Lonchura striata: one gene and its partner. The protein of the gene in region 1 binds, or shares a complex with, the protein of each later gene. Links are inferred from orthologs where the notes say so. Each region holds a gene or a part of one and is shown in the gene's direction. Other genes may lie near its edges.

Region 1 (8,043 bases):
AGTGTTTTCAGGCAGTCTCTTGTTCTGGATGCCTGGCTCACCTTTCTTGGGGCCTCATTTTTAGAGGAAACGAGCGCTCTGTGCAGTGACTCGAGTAGGGCACCCAGAATCAGAGGCCACTTTTGAATTGTCGGTAAAGGCATTTTGTTTTATCTCTGCACTTCATTAGTCTTATCCCCAAAGTCTTTCATGTTGTGTTCTACAGTGAAAGGTCATTGTTTCAGATCAATCATTTTCAGTGGGATTTAATCCAGTTCTAAGTCAAACTAATCCACTTTGGTAAAGGTTGAAGGGCAGTGAAAATTCATTTGTTAAGACAGATCTGGTCTTATTTTTTAAATGTGGCTGTTGATGCTGGGTCCTTAATTATTTATGCTCAGCACAAGGCGTCTTTCGGAGAGGTTCCAGAAATCATAGGATTGAGTTATTTTGTGTTCGTATTGTTCTTATTTTCTTAACACAGGTTGTTTCTTTTTCCTCTTACCTGTAGAGCCTCTTTTCAAAATGGTGCTCTGGTGGCAGCTGCTGATAAGCAGGATTTTTCATGTTTTCCTGTTGAAGCTTGTGAATTCTGGTTACTTTGCCCTCATTATATAAAGAGTAAAACTGCATTCTTCTGCCTGGGCAGGACTAGCAAACACTGTAGTTTGAAGTAGCTCATGAGGAGTTAAAGCTAAAGTGTTCTTGCTGCTTAAAGGAACCCCCACAACTGAGCATGCCTGACAACCCCCTGTGCATATCCCTGAATCATTCTAGCAAGGAAAAACTGCCATCATCTTTTATTCAGATATAGTGCTGTTTCCTCACTGGACTCTGAAATGAGCAGGTGCTGGAAGATAGCACATTTTGGCAGAGAGTTCTGAGGGTTTATCAGCTTGTGTCTGCACAGGATTTTGAACATGCAAAAGGCTACTGTGTGTGAATACTGAATGGTATTAAATAGACTGCAGTGATCCCAAATAGGCTTTGGGGTACAGACCTACCCTTTCCCACGTGGGAGCAAGAGCTTCACAGGTTTTATACAAATCAGTACCCTTCTGTTTTAAAGTTCTTCCCATGCAGGTTAATAGATACACAATGTACTTCACCACAGTGCGTGGCATGAACCCTGTTGCTGCTGCTGAGCAGCACTCAGGCAGTGTCATCTTTCTTCATTCTAGGATTTACCCTTGAGTTATGAGGGAGGTTCTGTGAGAGTGATTCAAGATTAATATGAAATTGAAATATGACAAAGAGTAGAATATTTTCACACACTGTGACAGCCTCGAGGCTTGTTAAACTGTGGTGTGTGGCTTGGCTAGAAGTATGTCACTGAAATTACAGTCCCTTGTGGTTTGGGAGAGAATCATCACACTACAGCTACGCCCACTGCTATCTCGTGCTCTGATCTTGTCGTTGGTTACACCATCTATCCTCCTGATGCACATTTATCTCACTTTACTGGGGGAATGTGCTGCTAGAATTCTAACAATAAAAATTACAGACAGTCCTAAGCTTCTGGAAGAATCTGTCCTTACAGCACTATCTGAGCATCATGCCCCATGTAAGGGCCAGGCACAAGTATTTCCAAGACCAGATGTTAACAAACTCCATCTCTTTCTCTTCCATAGTTGTCTCTGCTTCATTTGCTGTGATGTGGAAGCTGGTTAACCTCCCCCACCAGTGGGTGGTTTCTCTTCTCTCTCTCTGTTTCTCAGTATCCTGTCCCCAAGACTTTCATCATTTAGCAGTTCCCTAAATAAAACATTTCCTTGCTGCAGAAAGGAGAGGGAAGATCATTTTCTCCAGGGATCAGGAGGATGGTAGTGGCAGGAACTTTGTAGCAGCACTGCTGTAGTTCCGTGACTCTCAGAAAGAGCAGCACGAAATGTGTGTGCTCCCTCAGTGCTTCCAGGACAGCACAAGGGGAGGTTTTCCACCATGGTGAAAGCCTGGGAATGGCACATGGTGGTTTCCTGGTGGTGTTGCCTCTTCACCAGTGTCCCTGCAGCTAAACATCAGCACTGGGAGATGGCCTCTGAGCCAGCTGTGGTGTCCCCAGTGCCCCTGTGCGAGTGAACACTGAACTGGAATGGCATTTCAGCAGGGAGCTATTTATGGAACATGGGTGCTGTCCAATAATCAGATATGCCTGTGGAGCAGAGCCACTGCCTTAGGTCATAGTGCAATTTTCAGCGCCATAAATTTCTCCATCTACAAATTCTTGCTGGGTGTGGTCACTCTGGGAACAATTCTCAGTCCTGCCTCATGAGAGCAGTATTCCTGAGCTTTGATGGGAATCATGGAGTGATGCCTGGCATTGAGCTCAGCAGGGGAACCACAGTCAGGCACTGCTTGCACCCCATTCGGCACTCTAATAAAAGACCTGCTGATTTTTCCTTTTCCTTTCCATTTTTGTTTTAAGACATTGTGACTCATAAATATTGTAGAAGATTATAAAACTCACTGTGTGAGCTCTAATTTCTGTTTATTTGTACCTCTGTGGAAATGTGGAGCCACTACTGAGGGTGAAGATCCAGAGCACTAGGCACTGTATGCACAGGAGAATATAGGTACTCTCCCCCAGACCTTGGATGTGAAATGCAATCTCTTCCCTTTCTTTAGGTTACAGCCAGAGTGGAAATGCTGCACACAACGTTGCCTTATTTTAGCACTTTTTCTTGAAACTGTTGAATTTAGATTTGTATCTGGTTTTAGAGCAGCAAGGTTACACATGACCTCGTGGATTCAAGGTTAGGAATTTTTGAGACGCTTTAGACTGAAAAGTAGCTGTTTTACAGAAGCCTCAATTAAAGAAACCAAAGCATTTAATGAGAATGTTTTGTGCATGTGTAGATATATCCACATATATTTGGCAGATTAATGCAGATTGGTTCAGTGGGTGAATAACTCATTTTAAAAATACTTTGTAATCCATTTCCCTGGGGAGTCTGAAGCTGCTGTACAAGACTAGAAAGCTGCTGGTAAACCCTACATATTTTCAGAGCTGTTGGAATGCTTTGCAAACTGACTAATCTCTACTGAGAGATTATTACAACTGCAAAGGTTCCCAACTGAAGTGAACTGGGCAAGGAGGATTGGCACATCTGTCACTACTCTTGCCTGAGGGTCAGATGCATTAAAATTTGTATTTTGACATGGAACTATATATTTTCAAAATCACATCTTTGCTGTCTATACCTAAACATTTATTCTAAGGTAAAATCAATGCAAGTTTTAAAATAATTATGATAAAAAATTGAACTGATGCCTGGGATCCATTCTGTTCAAGTTTTGGATGTCACTGCCTTCTCTTAGAAACAGTGAAAACAAAATCCCAGTAGGAAAAAGCCCCATTTGGCTTGCTGGGATGCATGCACAGTAGTGTATGTGCTTCACACTACTGCAAGAGTTGTTTCCAGAATGTTCTGGCAATCAGTTTATAACTTGCTAAATTTTATCTTTCATGCCTTATTACATACAACTATAGTTTATTCTTACTTGTCATATTTATTTATGTCTTTTAACAAGACAGCTATATTCATCTAATCCCTTTAAAAATGGCAGCATTTATTTTAACTGGCATTAGGGTTTAATGCACAAAAGCCAGCAGCATTAGAGTTAAGGCTAAAAACTTTTGTCTGACACAAGGGACTGGATTGACTCATTTGAAGCAGTGTGAGAGTACCGAGGGTAGCGGAGAGCATCGGGAGGAGTGAGAGCAGCCTTGTCCCCGCTTCCCGGGTGTACCGCTGGACTTTCTCTCCTTGTCTTTGGGGGCGAGGACGGATGTGAGCTTCAATTGCCACAGGTGCTCCGTGCTGAACTCTCTGCTGGTGAGCAAACCTTCCGCTCGGCTGCACAGCAGCTCCCCGTACCTTCAGCGGTGCAGGCATGTTTAAATGCTGGCCAGGATTGAATGGGAAAAGTTAATCTATGATTTATTGTAAGAGATGAGTAACGTGGCTCCCAGCGTTTCTGTGGACACCAGCAGCAGTTTGTTGTTTGTGCCAGGTTCTTACCTTGAGATAATTTTTATGTAAGAATGGTAGTCTATCAATCCGCGAAAGCGGAGCTTGACTATTACACATTAAAATACGTAGTAAAATTGAATTTAGCTGCATCTCTTAGGTAAGGTAGTAGAATTGGTCCGTGGTACCACCCCCACAAGTCGGGCTGTTTCGAGGCAGCCGGGATGCGAGATACACTTATTTCCCCGAGAGAGGCACAGCCGTGCCACCACTGCAGGCTGCGGCCGCACAAAGCAGCCGCGGGCAGGGCAGGGTCGCACACGTGAACGCGGAGCGTGGTCACCCCGACCCGTGGTCAGCCAGCCGTGTGCCGCCCGTGTCCCTGCCGCGGCCAGGCAGGCGGGCGAGGCGGTGTCGGTGTCCAAGCCCGTGCCGTGCCGAGCCGAGCCGTGCCCCGTCCCGCAGTGCCCGCGCCCCCCGCCCACCTCCACCTTTGCAGCAGGAAAATGCAGCACTCCCAGCGCGCAGGCGCGGCCCGCGGCCGGCGCCCCGCCATGGCTATTTATAGCAAGTGACGTCACCTAGAAATAGAGCGCGGGGGAGCGGCGCCCCCTCCCCTCCCCTGCAGCACCGCGGCTCCGCCCCCTCGTTGCCTTCCCGGCGCGCAGGCGCGGGCGGCGGCAGCAGCGCCAGGCTCCGAGCCGCACACGCCGCGGTCGGTCCGGGAGCGCGGCCGGCGGGCGAGGGAGCGGCGGCCAGCACAGCTCAGCCCGGCACAGCCCAGCTCGGCCCGGCACAGCCCAGCGGGCGGCTCCGCTTACAGTTCCTGCTCCCGCCACCCGTGCGCGCCCAGCCGCACATCCCCGCCCGCCTTCCGCTCTCCCTGCCCAGCCCGGCAGCCACCACGGAAGCGGCCATGGGGGACCGAGAGCAGCTGCTGCAGAGAGCCCGCCTGGCCGAGCAGGCGGAGAGATACGATGACATGGCCTCGGCCATGAAGTCGGTGAGTGGGGCCGGTAGCGTGGCGGCCGTGGGGCGTACTCGGGGAGGAGTGTGTAGGGGAGTAGCGGCGGGGGAGGGAGGGAAAGGAAGTGCGGGCTGCTCCGAGGCGGGGTTGGTCCGGGCAGGATGCGAGCCGCCGGGTCCCACCCGTGGCGGTGAAGAAAGGAGGGCGGGAGCAGGAGCCAGACCATCCCGCCGGGACACCTCGCCGCCGTGTGGGGCGGTGCCCAGTACTACCTGCCTTCGGCAGAGAGGAGACAAAGAGTAGCCGGTCCAAACCGGACCTAGCACCCCCTCTCAAAACCTGTTTCCTTCCCCCTCCCCGTTCCCCCCATTCCCCGTGGAGGCTGTCTCGCAGCCCTCCCGCTCCCCGGCTGTCCCTGCCCCGGGGGTGTGGCTGTCCCCACGCCCTCCTCTCCGTCTCCCACCGCGCCAATCGGGCTCGCGGTGCGGCCATTTGAACGCCGCCCGCCTCTGCTGGCGGCGGGAGCGCCGCGCTTTCTCCGCCGCACGTGGGCCCGTCCTCGCCCACCCCCACGCGGGGGCTCCACCTTGGGGCGCGTCTCCCCTCTGGGCACCCGCCAGCGTCTGGGGCGCTGGTCCTGCGGGATGGGCACTGCGGCGGGGGCTGTCAGGGCACACAGCAGGAGGAGCCCCTTCCTCTTCTAGACGTTTCTTTTGCCTCGCCGTGAAAGACGCGAATAGCGGCCTCACTGACATCGGTGACTCAAAGGTAGTAGCTGCGTCCAGGTGTGAAAGCTACCCCTTGTTCCAGGAGCATTTCCCGAGCTTTAACGTTGCCTTTTTGCCACTTATTTGTAGGGTAACAGTTTCTCAGTGCATTCCGTACCCTGTTGAATAATGAAATGTGTTTAAACAATGTTACATTTGCAACTCTACTCCTTTCAGAACCAAGCAACGAAAATTATTTGTACTGATCTGATTGTACTGGTGCATAATAAAATTGTAGAATGATCAAACCTGTTACGTCTAGTTCCTTTTTTGAAAACAAAGCATTTACACCATCTGAGTGTTATGGGTAATGTTAGTGCCACTGGATGCTTAGCAGTGTCTTTCCATATCAGATTACAGTTGGTTTGTTCTTGCTGATCTGTCCTCTGTGAACACCAAAGGCCCCAAGAGGAACTGTTTCTCTCGAGAGTTCTGCTGTTTAAAGGCACAAGATGATTTTTATTTTGAAAAGGAGCTTCAAATGGAGTCCACATTTTTATTGTAAGAATGTCGCCTCCCTTAAAGGAGGGCAGCAAAAAGACACTAATTTTGCTGCTTTTGTTCACTTTTGCTATTATGTTATAATAAATACTACAACCAGTCCAGTTCTAAAACAGTGATACTTCTGAGTATCTCAATACCACAGACACAAGATGTTTAAATAAGGTGTATTTACAATTCTATCCCTAGAGTTCTTGATACAAACAATGTAATAGTAACAGCTCTTCTTTCAGTTGGTAATTTTAAAAGATGAAATAGAGAACTCACTAAAATGTACTGCTCAAGAAGACAATTTCTAGCTGTTGCTAGTAGAAAGCTTTATGTATCTCCAAGAACTGCAGACTTACAGTGCATGTATGGTCTCTGGGCACATGTGAAACCATGAGAACACAGCTGCTTTGCTTTAGGAAATGTGTAAATAAAGTACTTGCAACTAGTGTGTATGTCCAGTTGTCTTCAAACTGTTCTAATTGCTATGCAAATTTTGCTTTACCTGGAGCTGTGGTATTCTCATCTGAAATGCCACTTCTGCTTGCAAATAAGTTGTGTGATCATGTAATTGGGAGCTCAAGGACAGTTTGTAAGTAAGTGGAGTCTTGAAACTTACAGATACATTTAAAATACAAAAAGCAGTCTGAGTTTAGAAGCAACAGTTCCCTTACTTAGAGCTGTTCATACACTGTTGCATGTCTGTGATGTAGCATCTGTTATTTGGCTTTCACAGATGTTCACTCCAACACAGCAATTTCCAGAATGCTCTTCAGTGTTGAGGTTGATTTTGTAGGTCTGAGCATAATCTGTGGAATGCTCTGAGGGCTGGCTGTCCTCACACTTCATACTTCTGTTTCAGTGACTGCAAATAGCAGAGAGATAATTCAGAGAGTTTTTAATTCATATAGGTTAATATTGAAGTAATTGTGCAATCCAGAGAATTTAGACTTCCTCCAAAAGGAAGGAAATCAGTACTCTCAGAAATCTATTCTCCAGGGTATCTTGATTTGAAAAGTTTATTTTTTTTTTCCAAAATCTCTGCTTGTAACACATCTGATACTTTTTAAAGGTGCTATATGAAAGTAGTGTGCTTTCAGTGTCAATTGAAATGTGAGCAATTAATTTCAGTTTTAGATATTACTACCCTTTACAATACAGAATTTAGCTAACAGCATGGTAGTTCAGAAACATAAAAATAACAAATGCTTGTTTTTGTGAAAGTGCATTTGCCTGATTTTTGACTCTGCCACTGGAGAGTGACAAGGCTGCTGTTTCATCTGTCAGCGTAAAGCTGGAAAAACATTTATTTTTTATTCCCATCAGTTGTTCTATAATGAAAAAAGCTAGACCAAGTAGCACTTGTAGCTTAAAAAGGAATTTACTGCTCAATATGAATTTTTGTTGTTGTAAACTTTTTTTTTTCATGGAAGAATTCCAGTATTTTTGATTGTAATGTGTAAACAAGAGAGGAAAAAGAAATAATTGCTATTACAAGTAATTGTGTACATTAATTTGTAACTATTAAAATAATTTTAACAGCAAATAGAGTCAAATTTAAATGGCATTCTTCCATGGTATTCCCATTGCATTAAGTGCTGCTCCAGGATTCCGGCTGTTTCAAATAAAGCTCACACGGTAGGTACAGAATTGCTTCTCAGCACACTGGAGAAAGATGCTTTGGGTGTAACTGTGAAAGGCTCTCAGATGATGCAACAAATGTTTCAGCATTCTGAGATTACAGCATTGAGTACCCTTTGGTTTAGATAATTCCAGAAACCATGAAGAATTGTAGCTGTGTAAGCCCTTGGGTTTTTGGACAGTATTAATCCTAAGAGGTAGTGCTTAGGACCTCTATTGATTTATGTTG
Region 2 (8,179 bases), on another chromosome or scaffold:
GAAGCTGGGCACTGTGCACAGAGCCTGACCTGAGTTACATCAGGATATCTGTAATGACAGCAGCAAAGCTGTTTTGGATGTTTACCAGTACATGGGGTTCAAAGTCTCATTTGAGGGCCCTGATCTTCACAGGGATGTCACTTTCTACTGCTGAGAGACAGTTGATTGACACTGGATTTTTTATGATGTATAACAAAATGTCTGAGCGAAGGACATGGTGGACAATAATAGTAGTTAAATCTCTATAACAAGAAAACATTTATTTTGACAATTTAGTCTTTCTAATAATAAATGCTTTTGAGAATAAATGATGTTGCTATTTTTCTGTGCAACACAAGAAAGGGTTTTGACCTGGAGCAAAAAGAGAGGGCTTCAGTATCACTTACAGAGATGGTTGTTTAGGAGTAGCCACAAGGTTTATGTGCTCTTTGCATTCATTGTCCAATATTTCACAGGAATTTGTCTAAAAAAATATGTGTCATGTACAGCTCTTTAAATAAACATCAGGAAAGTAATACAGGTCTCTGAATTATTAGGTCATCCCTAGCTGCTGCTTACACAGACAGAGTAGCAACTAGAGGCTCAATTAAATTTCTTAATTATAATTTAGCACAACATTTCTTGAATTTTATGAACATATAAGCTGCATTGAAAGAGCCACATGTGTTTTAAGAGGGCATATAAACGTGGTGAGTACAACCTATTAGAGAGTCACAAGTGACTTTAAAAGAAGTAAGTAAATGGCACCTTAAAGAGATGTAGGGTTCATTTGATATTTTAACCTTATGCCATTCAAATAACTGAAATCTCAAATTTAAGGAGGATTTTGGGTAAGGCCTGACCCTGCAAAGCTATGAGTAGTCTAATGAGTGGAAAGGGCAAAATTCTTTGCAGTTTCCTGTGTATTAGATACTCAGTTGTTCACCATCATGCAGACTTTCTCTGTGTTCCTGGCAAACCATTAATGTAAACCAGTCACTATTAGAAAGTTAAGCCCAGCTTAATCCTTCTTCTCATTATTACTTTGCTGGTGACCTTCCTTTTGCACCATCAGTTTTGTTCTCATGCCAAAACTAATACCTAGTAAGGATAAAGAGCATTTCAAGCCTTCACTAACAGGTTTGCTTAGCTGACAGTCTTTCTTACACAGCCTAGCTACATCCACTATGTCATCACTGGAAGGACACAGCTGGATTCTGAAGCCTGCTGCTCATTGTGAAAGCTATAAAGTTCACTGCCAGATAACAAGACTGAAAGCTAATTCAGGAACTGTTTCTCAAGAGCTATCCTCTGGCCTCCCTCGTCAGAGTGAATGCACTCACTCACTGAAGCATCTTTTGGCAGCAGCTTTGGCTTCCCTCCAGCTGTTTCTCTCTTTCCGAGGATCTTCTTATTCAGTGACTGGTTGTGGTCTTTAAGCCTGGTTATCTTGTACAAGGAGCCCCACTGAGAAAAGAAGCCTTCCCTGCCATGGAACAACCAAATTAAAGCACATTTGTAAAAATCATAATTAGAAGGTCCTGTCCTCCCTGTGAAATTATCTTTTTGGAGGGATTTGGAAGCACATGTACCATGTGACACGAAAGCAAATACATTGGAATTAAAGCTGAATTAAAATAATGTAATTAAGTAGGACTTTTGACTGAGTTTATTCAACCCCCTGACTGGGCATGTGTACTTTCAAATTTTGAAATAATTTTATGAGGGGTTTTATGCTTTTATTAGTTGCCATCTAGCATTCAGTAGCATTGAGCAGATACCATCTGCAGTGACTCCATAGGCAGTGATTAAATACAAAGTTCCAGACTTCAAGGCTCCAGTAGAAGGAGAGAAAGAAATGGCAATGAGGAGAAAATCCCCATCCTAAAATGAAGGCAAAGAGAACCTGAATGAAATACTTCTCCTGTGGGATTAATCACATCTAAAGAATCAAGGTAGAAAGTACAGTCAAACTCTTCCTGCATAAATCTTGTGCTAAAGAATATCCTTCTGATATGCCCAGACCATGGCTCTTGACAAGCTGTTTGGCTGATGTTTTTCCATGGAAGGCAGGTTTTAAAGGATTCTTGCTCCTCATATCCTTTCTGTACTAATGATGGCAACTGCATAGCTTTGCTCATTAAATACATTTATGCCCACTATTTCAAGATTAACATATCACTGTGCCAACATAGGGCAACCCTATTCAACACTTGCTTCTCCTGTAAGCTGTTCCTAGTCAAAAGCCTTACAAAAAGACTTTATGTTTTGTTTCCTATATTTAAGTTTTTCTGAAGTATTCTGAAATTGCTTGCTCACCTCAGATGCAGCACTACCAAGATGTAAATACTATGCAAACAGAATGCCTTGGTTTAGCAACCATATTGGTTCAAATCTGCTCAGAGCATGACAGGAGAAAGCCCCTGTAGTAATTGCTTATTTGCTTCGCATAGTAGATATGTATTGCTACTAGCCAATATGGCACCTTATAGAAATATTTTTGAACATTTCCAGTGCTCATCCAGACACACAAGCTCCTATTGTTTTATATATACTGCCGAAAAAATGGAATTCCTCTTTGTGAACATAGAAATGCATATATTTATACTGGTATGGCTTGTTCCTAGAAGGGATAACATGGTGAAGGGAGATTTAATCACTGACATTATTTTAGATACCCAATAGAGTAGAATGATGTTAAGCCTCTGGGTATCTGCAGTGGGGATAAAGGAGTTTGCATTGTCATGAATGTGTGTGTGATATATTCTCAGGTCCTTAGGGAATAGCATACTCTCCTGCTATCCCACTGAGTCCAGGAAGGATATTGGCTAGAAAGGCACAGTTGACAGGAGTCAGTGGGCATGACAGGGAGTCAAGACCATTAATCCTGTGTATTACACAGGGAGTCCTGTTCTTAAAGAAAAGGTGATAAGGGGCAAATTTGGTTTGGTTTCTTGTGAATGCTATGAAGTATCTTCCATTTCTTTGTTATCTATGAGGATCAAAGCATTTAAAGCATTTCTTCCAGTGTCAGACCTTGGAGAAGTAATTTCCCCCCCTCCCATGGAAGTGCTGTGGGAAGACAACACACTCAACCCAGAAGGTGCCTTGGACCCGCAGTGCAGCACTGTGAATGTGCAGCTTGCTATGTTGGATGCTTAGTGTGTCCAGCTGAGTGACCTCTAGGGTCATCTTCCTTTCCTTTCCCACCACGGCCCCCTTTCCCTTCAGTCACCAATGACCATACAGGGAGGTCAAGTTATTAGCTGAGCAGAGAAGCAGTAATGGCAACAAATGAATTTAGCTATCTTATAAATATTTGTAAAAGCTATAAATAGCTGAAGCATACATTGGATTTTATTTACAATAGCATGTCCTGGCCTTTTCCTTTATACTTTTCATTTAGAAGCAGAGCTTCTTGATAATATGAGAGTTGTTAATTTAGAATTAAATTTTCATAAAAAATAAAGAGCATCATGCTTTACAAAAATTTCTGTCAGAAATCCAGAGACTGTGAATAAGATGAAGTGTTATACTGAAGGTACTGGGAACGCAGTATTTAAGATCTATGATAAGTCAGGAATGTTTTCATAAAATCTGAAGAAAACTTGGGACTTGAATATTTGAGAGGGAAGGCAGCTCTCTGCCTTGATTTTGCTTTCCTTGGAAAGCAAAGGATATGCAAAAAGATGTAAGGAGAATCCCTGCATCTTCTCAGTTTAATTTATGAACAAGGGGTGACTTGGGGGTCAGAGCATCAGTCTGAAACTGAGTCAGTGTCATACTCATACTTCTGCCTGAGCACTTCCTGTATAAACTTGGTAAATTATTTTTGCACATGCTCTGAAATTCCCAGTGATTTCAGTTGCTTTGTTTTCTTGATGTTTGCCAGCTAACATTATGGCCCGCATTCTTTGCTGCTCTGTTTCTTTGCTTGATTCAGAAGCAAAGAGGAATAAGGGGGATGGTGTATGCAGGGAGAATATAATAATGAAGGGAAAAATCAGGTAATCGTTGCATTTTGATTTTTTTTTTTTTCCCCTTCTTCTTTTCAGCTGAATGCACCGGGAATCGTTCTGGCTTGCATTTTGGATGAAGCAGCTGCTTGAAAGTCTGGTGAGAGGAGGCAGCTGTTTGAAATACGCATTCTGGTTAACGCGTTCAGGCCAAGCCCCGTATGTGCAGTCGCAAGGGTGCTTCTCCCAGAGGATTCCCCTGGGTAACTTCCCTTTGAAGCGCAGCCTCCCTGCTGAATTCAGCACCTGCTACTGTCTCCACTTCGAAAATGGAGGCATGCTAGTGTTTCTGGGGTCGAAAGAAGGGTATCCTGAGAATACTGTGGTTCTCAGTCTCAGTCGTGGAGGTTAAAGGAGCCTGCTCGCGATTTTCGTGCAAGCCTGGCCTCTGGCTGATGTAGGACATCACGGTTTCCGGAGAGCTGGCATTAGCAGCACGTCTCACTGCAGCCCCCAGGGAGGGTGGCAGTCACCACATGTGGTTTATCGGGGGGGTAACCGAGGTGGCAACGGGGCTGCGGGAACCCTCCTCCTGGTGTCGCCACCGCCGCAGCCGTGAGGAGATAAGAACCACAGCGGAACCGAACCGCAGACGGGCGGTGGGAGGCGCATCGCCCCTTGACGCATCAGGGGTCGCCGGGGCCGGGGGGCCCGGAGGTCCGGGCGCTCCCCGGCCGCGAGCCCGGCGCGGCAGCGGCCGCCGCCTTCCCGCCGCACCGCGCAGCCGAGCCCCGGCGGGGCGGGCGCACCGCCGCAGTGGCACCTCGGGCAGCCAATCCTGGCGCGCCGTCCCCGCCGCGTCAGCCAATCGGAACCGACAGCGAGAGATTGGGGGCGCCAAAGCCCCGGCGTGAATAAACCACCCGGGACCTGTGGGGCGGGGATGGGCGGGGCCGAGGCTTTGACGGGCGGCTCCTCACACCAATCCAAAGGCCGGACCTCGGGGCGCCTGGCCAATGGGCCGCCGGAGTAGGCGTGGCTGGCGGCGGGGGCGGGAGCGACGGTCGGGGGGCGGGGGCGGAGCGGCGGCGGCGGCGCTGCTCGGTGGCGACGGGCGGCGGAGGAGGCGCCGGAGGGAGGCGGCTGCGGGTAGCAGGTGAGCACGGCCGGGCCGCGATGCGGGGAAGGGCCTTCGCTGCAGCGGCCGGTGGTCGGAGCCGCAGGCGAGCGCGACGGGGCCGTGCCAAACCCCGTGGGGCGCGGGTGGGTCCGGCGGCGGGGGGGGGGGCGCCGGAGGCGGGGGAAGCTTGAGGGGCCGGAGGGGATGAGGGGGGGCAGGGGTACTCCGGGAAAGTGCGTGCGGAGGCGGCGGGCGATGTGGGGGCACCCTCCGGCCCCCGCCCCGGCGGGGCGCGGTGGGGTGGGGCGCGATCCCCCGGTGCGGCGGAGCGGGGGCCCGGCGCAGGTGGAGCCTGCGGGGGGCGGCCGCGGCACCGAAGGGCCCTGCGGGGAGCACCGAGCCGCCGGCCCGAGGAAGCGACCCCCGGGGCGGCGCCGCTCCCTGGGATTCTCCCGGGGCTGCCTCCCGTGCCTGCGGTCTCTCCTAGGCCTTGAATCCCGGCCAGGTTTCCGTCAGAGGGTCCCTCCGGCGCGGCCGCTCCCGGGCGCTTTGTACCGCTTGCCGCCCCTGCGTGGCCGTGGGAGCGAGGGGGCTCCGGGCAGCAGGGGCTCTCCCGAACCCGCTGCCCCGTCTCAGCTGGGGCTGGGCTCTGTGAACTTCGGGAGGCGTCGGGACGAGGCTTTTGGGCGATGGTACTGACGTCCCGGTCTGGCAGCGGGAGTTGTAGGGGAAAGGGCCCCGTGGGCAGCGGGGCTCGTCTCTTTTCACCCGGTTCGTGGCTTGGCCGGTGCCTCGGTGCGTGTGCGGCAGCTCGCCAGGCTGCACAAAGAACAGGCGGCCGGGTTCGGCCCGTCCTGCGGGCCAAGGAGGGATGGATGAGCAACAGCGTGCGGGGCGGGGGCTGCGGTGCGCCCGGGGAGCATCGCCCCGCTCCGCGCTCGGTCGGTCACGAAGGGTTAAAATGCAGCTCCCGTTCGGAGAGCCCTTAATTCCTTTTATTGCGCTCTTGGAGATGAACATTCTTCAAGAATGAAATGATTTATCCCTCACAGTAGAGTTAATGTCTTGCAGCAGCTCTGATCTACAACTCCTTCGGTCCAGTAGATTTATATAACCTGCTCATTAATGGTTTATGAAATGATAAGGGAGCTTTTCTGTTTGCTGATGTGTTTTGTGTGTTGTTATCAATATTTCCTAATTCAGCTGTCCGGAGTAGGAGAAGCTTATAGTTGTCAACAATGTATATTTCTACCATTTAAAGGATTTCATTTTGCTCTTGTTTTGTATTTTTGATCATTCTGCATATCAAGATAGGCTCCTGAATGAAGAGAGTGAATAAAATGGAAGGCACAGTCATTCTCTTTGGCTACAGTAATACTCTAAGTATGACTTGTAACAAAAAATGTAAATATTTAAATGGATTTCTGACTCAGTTCTATTTGACTTATTGATCTATAGTTACTGCTAAAATGGTCTTTATGATTATGCGGAGTTAATAGTTACCATAGAGAAAGAGATTGTTTTTCTGTTCATCAGTGAGTGTTTTCCATTTCTTCATCTCTTGGCAATTGTCTGTGGAAGTGCTGTTTTTTTCCCCTTAGCAAAAGTCTTACAGAAGAAATAAGGATGTGAACAAAGTCCAAAACAATGAATTTCAGATGTGTTCATTCTTGCCTGTGATTCTAGGAGTCTTGGTACCCTGAGTTATCCTACAGTAAAGGCTTTTTAATCTGTAATTGCATATAGTGTTGGTTTTAAGCCTCAGTGAAAATTTAGATTTACAGAACTCTAAACCTAACACATAAAATATTTTTTTCCTAAAATATACATGAGAAATGAAATTCAAATGAACAATTTAAATCCTTACTAGCAGAAAATTTATTTTTTATCCTTGGAATTACTTTCCTGCATTTATTATTTAGCTTAAATGTGTGGAAACTGAAGGCGCATGTAAACTAGATAGAGTAGACAAGTTTGTTTATGTTTTCATGTAGTGTTGTGAAACCTTCTGATTTTTTGTTAGCAGTTTGGCAGCATTATGCATTTGGGAAGAAACCTAAACCAACAAGCCACATTGGGCTCTTAAAACTTGCCAGACTTCTAAATCTTACATTTTGTAGTTTGATAGAGCTGCTTGGTGTCGGAATGATCTGTAAGTAATTTTCTTTCCTACCATAACGGGTATGATGGATTAAAAACTTTCTGAAACGGTACTGGAAGTCTTTGCAAAAGTGCTTCCTTCCTCAGGAATTGAAGCTATTGGGAAAAATATACTGTAGTAGATTTTTTATTGTGTGTTTGTGAGAGCCTATTACAGCACTGTGAAGTATGTCTTGAATTCTGCCTATAGCTGGTTTTATTCCACTAGTAATATTGATGGAACTGCATAGCACTGGAAAAAAAATGCTCTAATGCTATAGAAATGTAATCTTTTGTACTCTGGAAAAGATGTTTTAAAGAAGCTGTCAAGTAAGAGACTGGCAGCCAAAGCTGGTCTTATTGGTGACTTTTTAGTTGTATCCTACTTACTGCACTCATCTACTTGTCTGACACTCTGCTGACTTTGTTCTTTCTTTAGGGGAGGGGTGAAAGTTCACTTATAGTTTTGTTCTCCCAGCTTATCAAGCAAGCTTGGTTTAAACTCATATGAAATCTTGTCCTTAGTCTTGTTTTTGGAGTTTGCTTTGATTGGTGAACATATATTAAAATTACAGCTTTCTTGTTAAGTCTCAACTGATCTCAAAATATTAATAAGTGAAATTAGACCACATTGCCTTTCTTTTCCTGCAGAATACCAAGCATAAATTCAATCAAGCTAAGACTTAACATGTCCTCTACAGTCATATTATTGAATTACCACCACAGCAGCTTTGATTTTTCTGCCGATGCTTTCACCAAAAGGATCTGTTTTCCCCTGTTAGTCTTTCTTTGCTGATCCAGCTGAAAATGGCTGTACAGAAAAATGTTAAGCTTCAGTTGGATCAACTGCCTGAACTGACTTCATGGCTATACAAATGTTATTGCTTGCATAGGAGGAGGAGGAGGCTGTGACCACTCTTTGCTGAAGCAGCTCAATTTTAGTTTTGCCTAATAGTCCTGCCTTGTCAATAGACTTGGCAGCTTA

Evidence for each region. Proteins that work in one complex are often made in the same cells at the same time.
Region 2: the proteins of YWHAH (region 1) and NUMB are in contact, whole or in part, in a crystal structure (PDB 5YQG), measured with the Mus musculus proteins. The link is inferred for Lonchura striata from reciprocal best matches to the Homo sapiens genes YWHAH and NUMB. Residues at the interface, in NP_035868.1 of Mus musculus: Arg57, Arg132, Tyr133, Leu177, Asn178, Val181, Glu185, Ile222, Leu225, Asn229; in NP_001129547.1 of Mus musculus: Gln274, Gly275, Ser276, Phe277.

What each region holds. Positions count from the first base shown.
Region 1 is NC_134620.1:4,328,444-4,336,486, reverse strand, and holds the start of YWHAH (14-3-3 protein eta), read left to right. Parts: upstream 1-4,739; 5' UTR 4,740-4,866; coding exon 4,867-4,953; intron 4,954-8,043. UniProt on the Homo sapiens protein: Adapter protein implicated in the regulation of a large spectrum of both general and specialized signaling pathways. Binds to a large number of partners, usually by recognition of a phosphoserine or phosphothreonine motif.
Region 2 is NC_134608.1:35,772,523-35,780,701, reverse strand, and holds the start of NUMB (protein numb homolog), read left to right. Parts: upstream 1-4,986; 5' UTR 4,987-5,091; exon of another isoform or gene 5,092-5,198; intron 5,199-8,179. UniProt on the Homo sapiens protein: Regulates clathrin-mediated receptor endocytosis. Plays a role in the process of neurogenesis.